3 linked regions of the Ovis aries genome follow. The protein of the gene in region 2 purifies or fractionates together with the protein of the main gene of each other region. This does not show direct contact. Links are inferred from orthologs where the notes say so. Each region holds a gene or a part of one and is shown on either strand. Other genes may lie near its edges. The genes, in order: FOXO3, SKP2 and USP18.

What was found.
Region 1: the proteins of SKP2 (region 2) and FOXO3 purify together in Homo sapiens (affinity purification with western blotting; 3 studies listed by BioGRID). This does not show direct contact. The link is inferred for Ovis aries from reciprocal best matches to the Homo sapiens genes SKP2 and FOXO3.
Region 3: the proteins of SKP2 (region 2) and USP18 purify together in Homo sapiens (affinity purification with western blotting; 4 studies listed by BioGRID and IntAct, with this or other methods). This does not show direct contact. The link is inferred for Ovis aries from reciprocal best matches to the Homo sapiens genes SKP2 and USP18.

What each region holds. Positions count from the first base shown.
Region 1 is NC_056061.1:28,920,162-28,924,341, forward strand, and holds the start of FOXO3 (forkhead box protein O3), read right to left. Parts: upstream 2,836-4,180; coding exon 2,218-2,835; intron 2,125-2,217; exon of another isoform or gene 1,900-2,124; intron 1-1,899. UniProt on the Homo sapiens protein: Transcriptional activator that recognizes and binds to the DNA sequence 5'-[AG]TAAA[TC]A-3' and regulates different processes, such as apoptosis and autophagy.
Region 2 is NC_056069.1:38,199,519-38,202,602, reverse strand, and holds the end of SKP2 (S-phase kinase-associated protein 2), read left to right. Parts: intron 1-452; coding exon 453-666; 3' UTR 667-2,527; downstream 2,528-3,084. UniProt on the Homo sapiens protein: Substrate recognition component of a SCF (SKP1-CUL1-F-box protein) E3 ubiquitin-protein ligase complex which mediates the ubiquitination and subsequent proteasomal degradation of target proteins involved in cell cycle progression, signal transduction and transcription.
Region 3 is NC_056056.1:181,613,146-181,617,280, reverse strand, and holds the start of USP18 (ubl carboxyl-terminal hydrolase 18), read right to left. Parts: upstream 2,902-4,135; 5' UTR 2,827-2,901; exon of another isoform or gene 2,665-2,826; intron 1-2,664. UniProt on the Homo sapiens protein: Interferon-induced ISG15-specific protease that plays a crucial role for maintaining a proper balance of ISG15-conjugated proteins in cells. Regulates protein ISGylation by efficiently cleaving ISG15 conjugates linked via isopeptide bonds.

The sequences.
Region 1 (4,180 bases), on a different chromosome or scaffold from region 2:
AAATTTTAAAGATAAAATATTCATAAAATATGCACCCAGTATTAAACATATGACTGCTGGACAGTTTCAATTTATAATGCTTCATAAGATTTTAGTTAAAGAAAAATGAGATAGCAGAGAAGGAAAAAACAAACCATGAGACCAAAAAGAGTTAAGATATAAAACCACGAAGTTTAAGACTAGGCCCCAAATCTCTATTGCAGATCCTGTAAGCTACGTGAAAATATAATAAATTCAGTATCAATTCATGGTTATTTTTGGTAGCCACACTTTCCCACATAAGTCTTAAAAAAAAACTTTCAAATGCCATAAACTGGTATTATCTTTAACCATAAACATGATGCAAGAAATATTACTTATGGAAAACTACTTTCATAACCTTAAAAATCATAAAAAAGGTGAAAACCCTTGCTATGTTAACTTTCTAACTAACTTAAAGCTAACTTTTAACTAACAGATTCTCTGCACCAAATCCAAAATTTGTAGGACTAAATTTCAAGTGTGAGAAATTTGGAAAAGACTCCACACCCCACCCAATCCATCTTCTTAGATCCCACAAATTCATCCCTTCCTAACACTATACACTGAGATCAACCCTTGCTATCCACTTGAAAACTCAATTTTTAAAAGTATCACATCAGCACTGCTTTGAAACAGAATTCTCATCCTTTTCATAAATATCCTATTATCACAAAACTGGCATTCTTTTGCAAAGCAATACAACTGAATCGAACCTAAGATTCATAATAACAGCGTTTGTTCAAGGATGAGATAGATTTGTGGAACAATATCAAAGCACTTGTTTTCCTTTTAAAGTATCAAACCCTTTCCCTATACTAAGCATAAAAAAATTTTAAGGCATATTTCAAGATTTTTTTAAACCAAATTAAAAGTCAATGACACTAAATTCTTTAGCTTTTTCATGTACTAGCTCCTCTCCAGTGCTTCAGTTCTCCACCTAAGGTCAAACTGTTCTTATTTTATACACCCACTGGAATCTAGGAAGTACAGAGCTCCCCAAAGACAACAAAGGAAGGGACAGAAGGAGGAAGCAACCACCTTTTTAATTAAAAAAAAAAAAAAAATCCAACTTGTTACTAGAAGCAACAGACAGAAAGATATGTGTCTACAGCTGCACAGGGCTCCCTTTAGCCTGGTATGCATTCCTGTCTTGGGAGATGTGGCCAGGAGGATGAGGTGCAAGAGCAAAGCCGCTGGGTATCAGCGGCCCAGCAGGGGCACAGGAGTTAATCTCTTTGGATGCCCAATTGCAGGAAGTCATTACATCATAGGCCTTTCCACACCTCTCTCCCTACCACGTGTCCAGTGCCCCAAGAGGCTGAAAACGAACAGTAGAGAGCCTCTCTTCAGGTTCACTTACAGGTAGAAGCCATTACGGTCCAGCCCTGCCAGCAAACCTCCCTCCCCAAGGCCCAGGTGAGGCGCCAGGCGCGGGTCCTGGGCACCTGGACCCTCTGCCTCAAACAGCGCCAGAATCCGGACCTCTGCGCAGAAGCCAGCAGGTGCAGCGAGTCCCCGCTGAGGTAAAAGGGCTGGCCCGTGCCAGGCCCCAAAGCACCTCAGAAGCTACCTGCTGTAGAGACATCTCTGAAGAACAGAGGTGTGGACACAGGCAAGGAAAGGAAACCGGCCAGGAAGAGGTTTACAACCACCGCTTTTTGTAATTGGATTGATGTGCCTGTGGGAGCGAAAACCCCACAAGCCCGAAAACTTGGGCACAAGGGTTCTCATCCAGGTAGTCACAACACACCACGCTTCAGCGACTGACTTAAAACCACAAATCCACTCCTCCCAACCCGTTCCCTCACTCCCCCCGTAGTGGCCTCGCCGCACCCCCACGATGGGGGACTTCTACTCCCAAGTTGGCCGCAGACCTACCTTCTCTGCGATGACCCAGGAATCCGGCAAATTCACTCCGGTCCGTCTGTCCTTCCCTCGCCGGTGTCCCTCAACCCCTCGCCTCACCTGGCCATGCCTGAGGTTTCCCCAGGAGCCTTCTCTCCTGCCACCTTCGCGGCCGTCCCCGGTTGCCCCTCCTCCGGGATCACACAAAACCCCCAAAACCTCACAGCGGAGGCTCTCCCTGCCAACCCCTCTCCCCCGCGCCCTCAGGAGCGCTCCGTCGAATCGAAGACGCGCCTCGCACTGCGCAGGAGGCCCGGCGGGTCCGGCCGCCCGCCCCAGGTGGGTACGCACCTTCCAGCCGGCAGAGCTGTTGCTGTCGCCCTTATCCTTGAAGTAGGGCACGCAGCGCACCATCCACTCATAGATCTGGGACAGAGTGAGCCGTTTGTCTGGGGAGCTCTCGATCGCGCGAGTGATCAGGTCGGCGTAGGACAGGTTCCCCCAGGCGTTCCTCCGCGACGAGCATTTCCTCGGCTGCCCGGAGCCCCCAGCCGTCCCCGGCTGCGGCGGTGGCAGTGGCTGCTGAGGCTGCAGCGGTGTCTGCGTTCCCCCGCTCAGCGCGCCCGCCGCGGGGGCTGGCCCGGACCCGGGGTCCTGCCCTCCAGGAGCCAAGAGCCGGGCCGAGTCCTCCAGGAGTAACCCAGAGCCCAGCGGGCCGCCCCCGCCGCCGCCGATCGCCATGGCCGAGCCGGCCCTACCGCCACCGTCCTCGTCGTCTTCATCGTCCTCCTCCTCGGGGATCATGGAGTCAGCAGCCGCCTCCCCAGAGGGCTTGGCCGGGCTCCCCTGGAGCTCCGGCCTCTGCAGGGGCCACGTACAGGAGCGCGGCCGGCTCTGGGGCTCGAACTCCGGGTCCAGCTCCACTTCGAGCGGAGAGATCGGGGCCGGGGAGGCCGGCGCCTCTGCCATCTTCGCCGCCCGCCCGCCCGCCCGCGGCTCGGGCTCTCGCGCTCTCCTCTCGCGCCGGGGCGGGGTGCGGCGGGGGAGGGACGGGGGCGCCGAGAAGGCTCGGGCTCCCAGGCGGCGCCGCCGCCGCCGCCGCTACAGCCGCCGCCTGGGGAAGCACGAGAGGAGAGAGAAGGAGAGTTGGTTATCCCGGGCTGGAACCCAGTCTTCGGCGAGTCCTCGCCCGCCGTCGCCGCCGCCACCGCTTCGCGACCGCACCGCGCCCGCCTCCCAGGAGCAGGCAGACCTGGAGACGTGCGTCCCGCGAACCTGGCGCAGCAGACGCCGCCCCCAGACCAGGCCGCTGGGGAGACGGGAGCGAATCGACGGGCTCGCACGGGGCACCCCCTCCCCCGCCGCCGCCGGAGCTGCAGGTCTCTCCTGGGCTAGGTGGCTGGGCGGGGAAGAAGGGGGAGGGGCGGGGCGGGGGAGGGGCGCGGGCCGCGCCTTTAAAGCGGGCAGCAGCCGGCGCTGGCGCAGCCCAGCTGCGGTCCGAGCCCGAGTCCGGGCGGGCGGGCGTGCGTTTGTTTATGTTTCGCTCGGGCCCGCTCAAGTGCTTCCCGCGACGCCGCCGCCAAAGTCTGTGGCGTCTTCGGCTCTTCTTCCAGTCCCCGGCCCTGCTGCCTCCGCGCCCCTCTGCCACCCCCTCCCAGCGGAGGGCTCGAGCCCGGGGACGGCGCGGGAAGCTCCTTATTTCCCTCTCTGCCCGCGGGCTGAGAGGGCAAGCGTGGGTCCGAGCGCAAACAGGCCCTTGTCACTTCCAGAAAAAGGGGAAGCCGGGAAAAAGGAGGGCAAGCAGCTCGGTGGGTATTTGCCAAGGGTCGAGCCGAGCGGCAACGGCCACTTTCGGGGTTTGTGAGGCTTATTCTCCCACGGGCGTTGTGCCTTACACCCCCTTCCCAGTGAAGAACGGGAGAAGGGGGCAAGTCGGAACGTAAATCTTCCAACAGGTCAGGAAGCACCAAGTCTCCCGGGCCGCCAGAAAGCTCAGACCAGCACGTTCTTCACCTCCTTGCTCCCGCTGCTGCCATCTTGACAGTTTCCCCCCCTTCACTCAAGTCCTTTAAAAACACTAGCGGGAGAGAAGAGGGGCGCGCACACCGAGTCACGGGGAGGGAAAAGGGAAGCGCCTGGCCCAGCTCAGAAGCAGATCCGGAGTCGCCGGGAAGGCGGTCGACCCGCTCACAGCTCCGGCGCCTACCTCGGTTCCTTCCCCTCAGGGACGAGGGGGGAGGACGCACAATCCCGCGCGGGCCTGGGGCACGATGAGGAAGGGGCGCGCAACCTCGGCCGAGAGGCGCTCCGGCCG
Region 2 (3,084 bases):
TCATATCCTTAAGTTGCAGGTAACCTTTCGTGACTCCAGCTTATGCCACAGTAAAACATTTGCTTTTCCCATCACTAGCTTGCTGGCTTCCCCTCCCAACACAGTGACATTTTTTCAGTATAAACCAAGAGTTGGTGGGGAAGGGGGTGGAATATAAACCAGGAATAGAGAAAGAAAGAAGATATGTTTGGATTTTAAATAAACCTAGGAGTTTTTCGGTTATTAGAAATTCAGTGAAATGCACTTGTGTGTTTCCTAAGGCCATATTGCCCAAGCTGTGGCCTGTGCTTTGTGGTTTGATTCACCTTTGCTATTCCCTCAAATCATTGATTGCAAATTATGTCTTCAGTTTGTTTTGTATAAAATACAGTGTGTAAAAATTGGATCATGTAACTCTAGTGGCACAGTTACCACAGATACTGCTACTCTGAAAATCTCTCCTTCCTTTCCAGTGAACTTGGAGAAATTCCCACATTGAAAACACTACAGGTCTTTGGAATTGTACCAGACGGTACCCTTCAACTGTTAAAGGAAGCCCTCCCTCATCTGCAGATTAATTGCTCCCATTTCACCACCATCGCCAGGCCGACCATTGGCAACAAGAAGAACCAAGAGATATGGGGCATCAAATGCCGGCTGTCACTGGAGAAGCCTAGTTGTCTATGAAGCCTCTATTGCAAGGTGGTGTCTCCTCTTTTCTTTGAACAGGGAAAGGAAGCAGGAAGCCCAATTGTGGAGAGCTCAGCTATTTTTATTCTTGGTTTTCTGTTGCATTCCTTCTACAAGCATATTCGAGAACCATTGAAGACAGAAAACTACGAAGTGTTTGTTGCTTTTCAGAAATGACTATGAAAGCTTTTATCACTGCTATACCTTTAAGAGCCTCAGTTCTACGCTTTTTGAAATTTTAGGGAGAGTGAGCCTATAATTTCAAGATACCTTAAATAGCAAAATTTGAACCACGTCTTCCAAGTGCCATTCTTTATAAATCTATTTAGAATCAAGCTTAAAAATCACCACCAGCAAATCATTTTCGTAGCCTATATGGCAACTGAACATTCTTCTATTTAATTTTTCAGCACTGCTTTATTATAAGACATAGGTTGCAAAAAATAATAAGCTATTTGTATTGTAAGCTGAAAAGAATGAGAATCATAGAGTAGATCTGCAGCAATCTTCTGAGGATGGCAAGAAAAACAGACATTTCAACTGCACCTTTAGATTCACAATCTGGGTGATGGAAACAAATAGCCCCAGGTCATTCACCTTAAAACCTAAGAAACAGTTGGCCAACCAGAGGTGCAGAATTGGTATAGAATTTAAAGGCTCAAGAGACAGTTTTCTATGACAGTTAACCTGGGGTATCCTCTAATGCACATTAATGAGGTCGTCTTTATGTACAGTTGGGAAGGTCCCCTGGAGGAGGAAATGGCAACCCACTCCAGTATTTTTGCCTAGAGAATCCCATGGACAGAGGAGCCTGGTGGGCTACAGTCCATGGGGTCGCAAAAAGTTGGACACGACTGAGCGACTAATATTTTATTTCCTTTATGTACTGTGTTTGCAGCGTTCTGAATTAGCTGAGGAAATTGAATTGTGGACTTCTGACTTTATGTTGACGTGGGTTCTTTAGCTTTTAAAATGACTCACTTTGTTTTAGAGAGGTAGGAACCAGTCACTTCTTTGATTCTTGAAATGTTGGATAGAATCCTGAACCACAGATGCCTGCGTTTTCCTTTTCGCTAAGGTTCTCAAAGTTATTTTTACTCTGGAATCAAGTATTTTAAATTGTCTTTTTTTATTTTATTATTTTAATGGCCTCCCACAATGATTATTTCTAGCAACTTGTTTTATAAAGTTCTGGACCTGGAGTTCCCTAAGAACTGCATGTTCCTTTCAATTAGGAATATACCCTAGAAGAAGGTGTATGTTCCGTGCAGTTTCAGAGCAATAAGCAAGCTGGCACATGCATAAAAGTTAAGACTTGGGTGCTGAACCTTTTGATAGCATAGTGGTTTTTTTTTAATGATACATAGAAGCAAAAGGACTAAATTCTACTTTTAAAAAAACATAAAACATTAACTTCTTGTTTAAATCGATGACCTTCCCGTATATTCAAAATGGAGCAAAAAACCCAAACTCATCATTTCTATTAACATTGCTTTTTTTAAAAATCAGATCTCTGAAATGTTAGAAACAATGTATGAAGTGCCCTTATCTGCTCAAACCTAAGGAAGAACATTCTTATTAAGTAGTGTTACACGGGAAATGATTAGGTTTCAATTTTGTAGTAGTTTAAAAGTGCTACATACTACTTGAAATTATTGTTTACAGATTAGTGACACAGGCTGGGAGGGAGGATCCGGTTGGCCTCTGATTTCCGGATGCCCTCACACACACAGTACTTCCAAACTCAAGTCCAGCCATAAGCTATTTTGCTAACATGTCAGAGTAATCTGTATTTTTGTATGTGATTTCTACTTTTATAGATTTGTTTTAAAATAAAACACATTTTTATAAAAATGAATACTTCAGCTAAGTTGTATTCCTTTTTTCTTTCTCTTTTTCTTAAGCACTCTGGTTAAAACAAGCATCAGGTATGGCGTGAGATTTCTCTCAGCCCTCTGAATGTGTGTGTGCTAAGTCATGTCCTACTCTTGCAACCCCATGGACTGTAGCCCACCAGGTTCCTCTGTCCTTGGGATTTCCCAGGTAAAAATATTGGAGAGGGCTGCCATTTCCTTCTGCAGGAGATCTTCCTGACCCAGGGATCAAACCTGTATCTCCTGTATTGCAGGCAGATTCTTTATCACAGAGCCACCAGGGAAGCCCCAACCCTCTAACAAGGCACTTTAAAACAAGCCGTAACATGGTCCCTTTTGCCCCATCTGCTTCATGTGTTGTCAAATTAAAATGTTTATAATTCTTTGTATGGTTAAAGTGCTTCTTAAAGTATTAACATACTTTATAAGACATTTGAGATTAAGTGATAAGTACCATCAATAAAGTATCAAGTACTATCAATAAAAATCAGCTCGTAGCACTTTTTAAATACAGACTTGATCAGCTTATACTGTGCATTTT
Region 3 (4,135 bases), on a different chromosome or scaffold from region 2:
AATATAAGTGGCATAATTAACAGGCTCATGTTAAATGGCTCAGATAACACTCTCTCTTTTCTTAGCAAATATTTTCAATAGTCATAAAGTTATTCCTCTAATGAGGATCAACCTATAAAAGTTAAACTGACAAAGAAAAGATGGCAGTTGACAATTCCATGAGCAAAACCTAGGACTTTGAGACCACATCAAAGGAAATCTGATGAAACAGTAGGAAGGGATCAGCCTGTTTTCCAGAGATACTTACTCTGCAGTCTGCCAGACCTTGAAAATAAGATGGTAAAACCCAGTAGAGGAATCATCTGGAGAGGTGAGAGGCCAGATCCCAAAGAGTCAACAGAGAAAGGCAGGAAACTTCAAAGGTAGTCATAGAGGAGATAGGTAGGTGGGGCAAAAAAGAGAGGAAAGCGAAACTTAAAGATCTGAGGAGGATGGGGAAAGTGAGCTAAGCAAGTGGTGACGGGGGAAAGGAGAATGGATATATTTTGAGGAATATTTTTAAGGATGCTGAATTTTCAAACTCAATGCCTGACTGAAAAATGGGCTCCAAAACAGGATTCTTAGGGCAGTGAGACTATTCCTATTCTGTCTGATACATGGTCGATACATGCCATTATACATTTGTCAAAATTCATAGAATGCACAAAACAATGAACCCTAATGTAAAGCACAGACTTTACATGATAATGACCTACGTTCATAAATTGTAACAAACTGTTTACAGTGGAGGAGGCTGGAGGGGCAGGAGGTATATAGGAACTCTGTGTACTCAATTTTGCTGTGAACCTAAAATTGCTCTGAAAAATAGTCTCCTATTTAATAAAATCTTAGGTTCCAAAGAACAAAACTAACAACCCACTCTTTCTAAAATTTTTACACTTATAAATGGGAGATGTGAAGGACAGAAACAGCTGGCTTAGACTAGCCACCACTGCAGCCACAGAAACAACCAGAGACTTCAGAGAAACAGCCTAAGACTCGACATAGGAAACCTGGGCTGGCCCCGGGTGCTAACTGGGCTCTTCACTCACTAATAGACTCTCTGCAAGGAAAACCAACTCCGTCCTTAAATGCCCAAAGAGGATCAAAACCTACATGCCTGGACTGTGTGTGATGCAAGCCTCACAGTCCAAAAGCAACCCATCATGGCAACAGATCCAGATCTCGTATTTCATGTTGGTGTGTGCTGCTCCAGTAACGGTAATGCGCTGGGCACAATGACTGGAACACTCCAGATGAAACCTCTTTGCAAGCTCATCACTATATTTAATATAAAAGCATCCATACTGTGCACCGAATTTTTATTGGTTTAAAAAAATTAAAGGTTTTCTTTTTTTCCCCAGTTCCTTGATAGAGATCCAAAAAACAGGATGAAGCTGTGTAACTGTTAGCTGATGGCCTGTCTGGTTCCTATGAGCACAGGAGACCTCCCAAATGTCCAGGCTGAAGCCCCCACCTCACCCTCACAATGTAACACCAAATGGAAAGTATGTATCAGTCACTCAGTCAAGTCTGACTCTTTTGTGACCCAGTCATGTCTGACTCTTTTGTGACACTGTGGACTGCAGCCCACCAGGTTCCCAGGTCCATGGAATTCTCCAGGTGAGAATACTGGAGTGGGTTGCCATTTCCTTCTCCAGGGGATCTTCCCAACCCAGGGATCAAACAAACCCAGGTCTCCCGCATGGCAGGAAGATTCTTCACTGTCTGAGCCACCAAAAAGAAATATTTTAAATATGTGCCCCTATTTCAATGATTTCAAAGTATAGCTACCTCAGTGCTGTAAGGCATGAAAGTAAAGGCTCTACTTTAATTTTCAGAACACGTTTAGGTCCAGATTTTCAGAGGTCATAGAGTTTTAGGTTTAAAGGTCTAAATTCAGACTAAAATATTCTGATTTGAACAATTTAACAAAATCTTTCAAATTTTTCAGTTTGTATGCCCACTGACCCAGCAATTCTACTTATAGGAACTCTCCACAAATATGCTTATATATTCACACAACTGTGACTATAAATGATACTGTTGTATCATCCATACCGCTAAAAACAGGAAAGAACCCAAATGTCCATGAAGTGTTTAAATAGAAAGACGTACCTCTCATATTTTTCACCAGTTTTTAAAATGAGGTGGACCTACTGTATCTCTTGCCATGGAAAGATGTCCATAATATACTGTTAGGTGGGGGGAAAGCAAATTTACAGAGCAATTTTGGAGTTGTACATATAAAAATTTCTGGCTAGGTAACCAATAAAATGATAGCGAGTTGAGGATTAAAAGAAACCTTATTTCTATCTCAGGTTTGTCTGCATTTTTTGGAATTTTTTTTACAAACTTCGACAGTTTTGCAATTTCTTCATTAATTAAAGTCATGCAAGGAGATGGTATGGGGAGGGAGGTGGGAGGGGGTTCAGGATTGGGAACTTATGTACACCCGTGGGGGATTCATGTTGATGTATGGCAAAACCAATACAGTAATGTAAAATAAAGTAAAATTAAAAAAAAAAGTCTAAATCAATACATCAGCGTGAGAAAACTGCATCGATCCAATACACCTATTAACGAATACAGGCCATTATTATAATCCGCGGAGCCCAAATAAATCCCATCAGTATCCACGAGGCAATGAGCAGAGCCCCGCCTTATCTTCACCACCAAACTTGCCTTAAGAGCCGCGAAGCTTCAGACCCGCGCTGCCAAGTCGAACGTGGGGGAAGTACAGCCACAGTGTGGGGCCCTCCAGGAGGCTGCGGGGCTGGCGCAGCGGGCGACGCCCGGTTCGTCCACTTCGGTCCCCCCCGGCTGTCCCCGCGCCTCCCTACTCACCTCGGTTCCCTACTTCTGGCCCTCTGGGTCGCCGCGGACGGGCGCCCTTGCATCAGGACCTCTGTCCCCGCCCATACCCCCGTCCCCGCCCCGTCCCCGCCCCGTCCCTGCCCCCGCCCTGGCGCTAGGCTTTCGTTTCCTGCGAACTGAAAGCGAAACTCAGCGGAGGAAGCGCTAGTGAGCACGAAGTCCGTGCCCCCGCAGTTGGTTTCGCGTTTAAACGTGCGCGCTGTCTGCAGAACACGGCCTAAACTGGTTCCTAGAGTGAGCTCTTGTTTGGACATTTTAAGATCTCCGTAGTCATTCGGAGGTGTTTTACAATCGTTTGGCATTTCGTAATACACGTGGCAGCATTTTTTTTCTTTCTTGAAGCAATGATCTAATTTCTTAAATTGGGTATCTTAAAATTGTCTGGCTTGTAGATTCGATGACAGACGGTAGATAGATGCAAGACGAAGCCCGCTGTCCTCTGGTGCCCCTGGGGTGGCGCGGGGGCGGGGACGGGGAACCCGCTGTGACGCAGAGCTGGTGGGGAACAGAAAGTGAACTGTTCCACCTTAGACCCTCACGTACACTGGGTCCCTGAGAAATGCCAGGCTCCCTGCTGCTGCTGCTGCTGCTGCTGCTGCTGCTGCTGCTGCTGCTGCTGCTGCTGCTGCTGCTGCTAAGTCGCTTCAGTCGTGTCCGACTCTGTGCGACCCCCATAGACGGCAGCCCACCAGGCTCCGCCGTACCTGGGATTCTCCAGGCAAGAACACTGGAGTGGGTTGCCATTTCCTTCTCCAAGGCACGAAAGTGAAAAGCGAAAGTGAAAGTGAAGTCGCTCAGTTATGTCTGACTCTTAGCGACCCCATGGACTATAGCCTACCAGGCTCCTCCATCCATGGGATTTTCCAGCAAGAGTACTGGAGTGGGGTGCCATCCCTGCTAAGCTCTAAACCTAATTCAGTCTATATGACAGGTTCCTAATAGAGGCCCCATTTTTATTTCAGTTTTATAGGCGCGGATACTAATTTTCAGAGAGGCTAAGTGGGACTTCGCAGATGGTCCAGTGGTTAAGATTTCCCCTTCCAAAGCAGGGGGTCTGGTTTGGTCCCTGGTCTCCCTGGTTGGGGAGCTAAGATCCCACATGCCTCACGGCCAAAACACAAAAACATAAAACAGAAATGATAAAACACATTAAAAATGGCCCACAGCAAAAAAAAAAAAAAAAAAAGAGGTTAAGTGACTTCACTAAGGTCACAAGATTACAAGGGATGAAGCCAGGATTCCAGAGGGTCTTAACCCTAATTCCCACTGCCACCCTTTG